2 linked regions of the Nothobranchius furzeri genome follow. The protein of the gene in region 1 purifies or fractionates together with the protein of each later gene. This does not show direct contact. Links are inferred from orthologs where the notes say so. Each region holds a gene or a part of one and is shown on either strand. Other genes may lie near its edges.

What was found. Proteins that work in one complex are often made in the same cells at the same time.
Region 2: the proteins of inppl1a (region 1) and shc1 purify together in Homo sapiens (affinity purification with western blotting; 4 studies listed by BioGRID and IntAct, with this or other methods). This does not show direct contact. The link is inferred for Nothobranchius furzeri from reciprocal best matches to the Homo sapiens genes INPPL1 and SHC1.

What each region holds. Positions count from the first base shown.
Region 1 is NC_091753.1:34,084,745-34,088,262, reverse strand, and holds part of inppl1a (phosphatidylinositol 3,4,5-trisphosphate 5-phosphatase 2A), read left to right. Parts: intron 1-18; coding exon 19-100; intron 101-197; coding exon 198-287; intron 288-380; coding exon 381-494; intron 495-1,210; coding exon 1,211-1,387; intron 1,388-2,184; coding exon 2,185-2,340; intron 2,341-2,705; coding exon 2,706-2,790; intron 2,791-3,518. UniProt on the Homo sapiens protein: Phosphatidylinositol (PtdIns) phosphatase that specifically hydrolyzes the 5-phosphate of phosphatidylinositol-3,4,5-trisphosphate (PtdIns(3,4,5)P3) to produce PtdIns(3,4)P2, thereby negatively regulating the PI3K (phosphoinositide 3-kinase) pathways.
Region 2 is NC_091745.1:78,668,626-78,672,143, forward strand, and holds part of shc1 (SHC-transforming protein 1), read left to right. Parts: intron 1-62; coding exon 63-182; intron 183-1,777; coding exon 1,778-1,831; intron 1,832-2,148; coding exon 2,149-2,200; intron 2,201-3,518. UniProt on the Homo sapiens protein: Signaling adapter that couples activated growth factor receptors to signaling pathways. Participates in a signaling cascade initiated by activated KIT and KITLG/SCF.

The DNA.
Region 1 (3,518 bases):
TTGTTTTCTCCGTCCCAGATGAGGACGAATGTCCCCTCCTGGTGTGACAGGATCTTGTGGAAATCGTACCCAGAAACTCACATTGTGTGTAACTCTTACGGTGAGTCAGAGGTCCTTCAAACGGAGCTAGAAGCAGGATTTATGGTTAATATAGCTATTTGTTTACTGCTTGGTGGGTAATTATTTGTCTTATTAAGGGTGCACTGATGACCTCGTGACCAGTGACCATTCCCCTGTGTTTGCTACATTTGAGGTTGGAGTGACATCACAGTTTGTTTCTAAAAAAGGTTCCAGTGACTGTTTCTATTCATAATTTTTCAAAATGATCTGTTATCCACTTTAAAACTTCTTCCTCCATCCCTCCTTCCCACCTCCTGCAGGTCTGCCAAAGTCTTCAGAGCAGGCCTACATCGAGTTTGAGAGCATCGAGGCCATCGTGAAGACGGCCAGCAGGACAAAGTTCTTCATCGAGTTCTACTCTACCTGTCTGGAAGGTGAGACAGACACGTCCTCTCAGCCTCCAAGGCAAACCAAACCAGGAATAATGGCTTAATAATAATAATAATAATAATAATAATAACAGATTGAACTTATATAGCGCTTTTCTAGACACCCAAAGACGCTTTCACACACACTCACATTCACACACTGCTAGTGATGGTAATCTACTTGTAGCCACAGCCGCCCTGGGGAGGTCTGACAGAGGCGAGGCTGCCATTTGGCGCCGTCGGCCCCTCTGACCACCACTAACACAGGCAAGTTGGGTGAAGTGTCTTGCCCAAGGACACAACAGCAGGATACCCCTGGCAGGATCTGGAATTGAACCCATGACCCTCCGATCATGAGGCAACCCGCTCTACCACCTGAGCTACTGCTGCCCCCGGCTTAGACGTGCTTTCTTTACCTCCAAGTGGACGCAATAATCCTGAGTCTGCTCTTTTTGCCTCATCCCACCCTCCCTCCCTCCCTCCCTCCTTCCCTCCCTCCCTCACTTCCTTCCTTCCTTCCTTTGTTCTTCCTTCTTACATCAGACAGTAAGAATCAACATGAATCCATTTTGACCTGTGCTACATGTTAACCTCCTGTCCTTTATGAAATTTTGACTGAAATGTGATTGATACGTCTCCCTCCGCCCCCTTATCCCCTTACCTCCGTACCCCCCCCCCCCCCCCCACTCTTCCCTGCGTTTCTTTATCCCTCTCATTTGAAGAGTTTAAGAAGAGCTACGAGAACGACAGCCAGAACAGCGACAATGTCAACTTCCTCCGTGTGGGCTGGTCCAACAAGCAGCTGACAACTCTCAAGCCCCTCCTCTCAGAGATCGAGTACCTGCAGGACCAGCATCTGCTGCTCACCGTCAAATCAGTGGACGGTTATGAGTCCTACGGTAAAGACTAGGGATGTCCCGATTCAACATTTTTCACTTCCGATACGATACCGATATTGCAGCCTTCGGTATGGACCCATACCGATATCAGCATAACCGATATGATATCAGCCCAAATCATACATGCTTTACGCATTTCGTAGTGTGGAATGTATAAAGGTAGAAAACGAAAGCCAGCAACAGTTCCGGTAAGTATAAAAAACTGACCCATTATTTATTAACCTTTGGTTGCATAAATGTGAACAGCTGAGGTTAGGGACATAAGGAAAGAAACAATATTGTTCACTGACCAACCGCTACAAGTTGTGTGTCAAAAGTTTCAATTTCACACTCTGCAAAAGTCCTCGTGCAATGTTTTGTGATCCTACTTCAAATGAAGCCACGATGAGGTTGGACATATTCATCTTCCCTGGTTCTGTTCCACCACGGGAAACTTGTGCATGACAAGTGTTGCACTGAGCCACACTGTCTTTTTCGGACATTAACGAAAAATACAGCCACATGGCCGACATTGTTCCTTGCTACTTTGCTAGCACACACTGTTCTGATCATGTGGACTTTGCATGCTGGATCTGAGCGCTGCTGGATAGAATTGTGGGAATGGAATTTAAAGCTGAACGTACGTACTGCTGATATCGGAGGTTTGTGATGCTGTCCCATATAAACCTGTACAGTGTTTCTGGGCTGATATCAATAGTAGAACGGGACATCCCTAGTAGACAGACTCTGTCTGCCAGTGAGTAGTCTTTTGTTTTTTTTTGTCGTCTGACCTCTACTCTCGTGTGTTTTTCTGTTAGGAGAGTGTGTGTTGGCGCTAAAGTCGATGATCGGCAGCACAGCCCAGCAGTTCCACACTTACTTGTCCCACCGAGGTGAAGAGACGGGAAATATCCGGGGTTCCATGAGGGTCCGAGTGCCCGCTGAGAGGATGGGAACCAGGGAGAGGCTGTACGGTAAGGCAGCAGTGGGTGTGTGGATGCAGGCAGCTATTAAAAAGCTAAAGTGGTAGCATGGAAAATCGGCTCTAAACTAACGCTGTTTTATAAATGCGCTTCTGTGTGAACGTTATTGACTGATGAGGACTGCTTCCTGAACAGCCTCTATTTGGAGAAGTAGTTATCGTCCTGAAGGACTGATGAGCTAAAAGCTCATTTTGGGGCAGTCAAAACTTTACGGCTAATTTTAAGAGATTGAAACTTTTTTGTGGTGTTTTGTCTAAAACCGCTCGCGTAGTAATTTATAACCTTTATGAAGAAACTAAAAACAAAACGGCCAAAAGACCGTTTAAGAATCTTAACAGTGTTTTATTGTATTTCAGAGTGGATCAGCGTGGACAACGATGAGACTGGAGGACCCAAAGGGAAATCCACCATGGTGTCCAGAGTGGGACACGATTATGTCAAGTCAGTTCAGTTCAGTGTAGCGGTTCGTTTTACTGGTGTGTGTTTGTCCACCGCCCGCTGGCAGAAACAGACTCATCACATCTGGTCCACATCGGTTCTTATGATCAATGTTTATGACGTAAACATGAAGACGTGGCTCTTTGGGTGCTGGTGCTCAGCTGTGGTGTGAAACTAAACCAGGCTGAGATGACCAGCTGTTGGTGATCACAGAAGAGTCCGACAGCACAAACCACACGCTCAGACCCAGCAACTGAAGTCTTGATCTCTCCTATCATCGTTGATCCCTTTTGGTGTATATCATAGAAAAAATGTGTTAACTTTAATTATTCTGCTTCATATTTCACGATTACTGATTAAGCATAACATCTTTATGATGATTTTCTTCAACGATCTGCTCACATTTTGCACACACCACGTTTCCTGGAGGTGCTTCGTTGTTTAGGGTAAACGGTTTTTCTCTAAAGGGTAAAATGGTTTTTATTGTTCATCTGGTCTGAAAAAGGCGCCGTCGCCTATCGGAGTGGGATTGTTCCAACCACAGAGTTCAAGTTTCAGATGAGTCAGAATTGAAGAGACTAAAGAAAACACGTTCAAGAATCAAAGATTTATGATTTTACTTATTTTTATTTTATTTATTTATCTCAAACCATCGAAAACACCAAATTGCATATGCACTCCCCCATATTCCTGGTGCATAAAAAATTTTAAAAATGTGGAATACGATTAAC
Region 2 (3,518 bases), on another chromosome or scaffold:
TTCTGCTTTCTTTTTGCTCTGTACTTTGTAACTCATGGTTTGTACGTTTGTGCTTTTTGCAGCCCGCCCCTCGCGGTTTGATGTCCATCTTGGGAAAGAGTAACTTGCAGTTTGCGGGCATGACAATCAACCTCACCATCTCGACCAGCAGCCTCAATCTGCTGGCTTCTGACTGCAAAGAGGTTAGACGGAAAGCCGTTTGTTGGAGACTCTGCTGTTTTCTGAAGAGATCTCTGAGCTGATGTGTTCCTGAAGGTCGTGAGTCAGAGATTCACCTGATTTTATGAGTTTTCTGCTCTAGCTTGAGTAGAGTAGAGTTTCATGTGGTTCCACAGAGGTTGGTAACCTAAACTTGGACTGTGAACACATTAATAGCCAATAAAACCAATCAGGAGGACGTAAAGCGGGGGTAGGCCGATGAGACGTTATATTTTTCTTGCTTGAAACACTTTTCCTACACTCTTACCGATGACAACTGCTAAATCAATTTTTTGTTAAAAAATTTTTGAAATATTTAATTGCTTCTGAAACCCTGGAAAACCTCATCCATTCATGGTGAACGTTTTGGATATTAATGACTGAGCAGGGCTTCCTGGTGTAACCGACGGAACGTTGCTTTTCCTTTTGAAGTCTGGTTCTGTTGCTGCTGGGAAACATTTCAGAGACGGACTTACTGTCTGGGAACGAAGCCTGTCCTCTGTCGGCTGGTGGAGCCATCAGTCAGTTGCCTTGGCAACGCTCGTGTGACGGGAGGCTCGGGTTGGGTTGTGGACCGGTTGTTTGTGGGGTTTTCCCCAGACTGTTGGTGGTACCGAGCTTTGTGATGTTGAAGTTAATAAAAAACCACGAAAGCTAAAAGTCGTCTCGTTTTTCATCAAAACAACGCCTCGCTGTGATAGCTAGCATGTTAAGTTGTTATGCGGTTACTTAGGTGTGTTGTGTTAGGAGTTATGGCACTGAAGGTGCCAACAACGGGTCGAAAACACAAATCAGGAACAAGGATTTCACGTTTCTGTATACTGAAGGTGTGGCTTAAGGGGGGAAAGGGGGTTGGTTGGACCTTCCAGTTGTGAATTTTCAGAAAGTAGTTAGCTTGATCAAGAAAAGCATCTCCTGTCCCACTTATAGGTTCATGCTACACCTCATACCATCTTCAGCTCGTTCGGACCACAGCCGGCACAAAAATGGCTCCAACCTCCAAAACTGTGGCTTTATTTGTTAAAAGTTTAGCGTTCTGGGACTTTCCGACTTCGATAGCTAAACGGTTCTGATCTCTATCCCAGCTGAATGCTTTGATGAGAACAGGTCATTTAGTGAAACCCAGATTAACCCGAGTCATCCCACTTGGTTTGCTCTTAATGCAACACAAACTCCTCCTGACTGACCGTGGTATTTGGAGCTGGCACCCGACAGGATGCGATTCTCTCCTCGGGCCCCTAATGAGCTAATAGCCGCTGAGTGGTGCCTATCTTTGGGATGGCGGTATGTTGGTGTGGAGCATTAACACACAGAATGAGCATGTTGTAGAGCACGCGTCCACAGATGAGGAAGCAGACACAAACCACTCTGTTGAGCATCATCCACCCTTAATGCCGTTATTGATTCAGCACGGGTGGCTGTTGCAGACGGGTAAAAAGGTGCTCCATCCGAGCAGCAGCTTTCTCCGTAACGATCCCAGACTCCGCTCTCCATCCACACACTTTTATTTCACTTCCCACAGACTTCCTCACATCCATTCTCTCTTCTCATTCTGCCTTATTGTTATTTTTCTCTGCAGATTATCGCCAATCATCACATGCAGTCCATCTCCTTTGCTTCAGGAGGAGACCCAGTGAGTCCCCCCCCCCCCTCTTTCTTTCAGCTCAAATCTCACTCTGGCCTTTCTTCAAGTGGCATGTTCTTCCTTCCTGTCTGAGTTCCACTTGCTCTGCTGCTGCCTCACTGGCCTCCATCGCATCACTTCCTGCTGCTGTTTTCCAACTCGCATTCAAAACTTGTTATGACTAAAGCTTCGGTGTTGTCTCTTTTCCCGTGTTTCTTCTCCTTCTCAGTCCTTTCAATCTCAAACCTGGCCTTCACTTTTTCCTTGTATTGATTTTTCCCTCTCTGCTCCTCCTCTAACCGCACTCCCCCGTCTCGCTCCCACAGGATACAGCTGAGTACGTAGCATATGTGGCCAAAGATCCAGTCAACCACAGAGGTGAGCAGCAAAAAAAAATCCAAACATTTCTGCAGAGGTTGGCAGGGGCGCCTCCAGAAAATTTTGGTAGGGGTGGCCAGATGGGGCCAAAGAAATTTTTGGGGTGGCACACCTAATTGGTCCTTGTGGTAACTGGGAGAGTTTAGTCTGTGGAGATGTGCTGCATTGCGCCTTTATTCATTTTTATAAAAGTAACAGTACGTATCCAAAACATTTACTTTAAATTTTACAAACACAAACGTTTTAGAAAAATGCATTTCAGTTTTTTTAAAATGTTACCCCAATTTTTATTAAATTTTTTTAGGTTTATTCACCTGTGTGTTGCTGTGTTCACAAAAAAAAACTACGGTGATAAAAAAAAAAATTTTAATGGTGAGCAGCAGAAACAAATGTATATTTTTTTATTCTGATTATTTCTTTACTCATTAATTATAATATTTTTATTTTGTTTTACAATTATGTCCTGAATAAACAAGATAAATATGGTTTGACTGAACATTAATATGATTTGTTAACACTGGCTTTTCCTGGGGGGGGCAGCAATTTTCTAGGGGTGGCCATGGCCACCCCTGGCCACCCCTTGGGGGCGCCCTTGGAGGTTGGACATGTCAGTTAGAACAAAATCAGAGATTTATTTCGTTTCTGTAGACCTTCATCACATCCTCTCACCCAGGAGTCCGCCGTTTCCTGTGTCGACTTAGAGCAGTTTGGTTAATCAGAACTTCAAATGACATTTTCAGCAAGTACTGTAAATAAATGGGGCACGGTTTTTTCATTGGAACTTAAATGAGTCACATCGTGCTCATGAAAGGCTCATCTGCTTTGGCGTCACAAACCCAGTGAGCAGAGACACGGAGGAGGTTAGGGATGTGAGGATAAACGCACAGATGCAGCCGTGGGCCCACGCACTTCTCAGATTTAGTCTAGATGCATCCGTTTATCTCGGTTTTGCATCAATAACATCGATTAGGTAAAAGGTTTATGAGCAGTTTGAAAAGTAAAAGTTTATTTCTGTGTGTGACGATCGGAGCTCGCATTTATCTCTTGTTCTAGTCTCCAACTCTTCTTCTGATGCCATTCCTGCCGTTTAGCTCTTTTTAACAGGTTTTTTTATATTATGCATCAAAGGTGAGAAACATACAGTATTAGTCGAGTCTTCTGCCCCTATTTCCTGCATTAACCACCGACAGAAAACAGGGACAGGGACACGCTCGAGTCTGAAAACGTCACACTCCTTTAGACAGGAAACCGCAGAGAACGTCTCAGCCAGTAGAAGCTAACCGTTAGCATTAGCAACTCCACCACACAGCAGAACTCC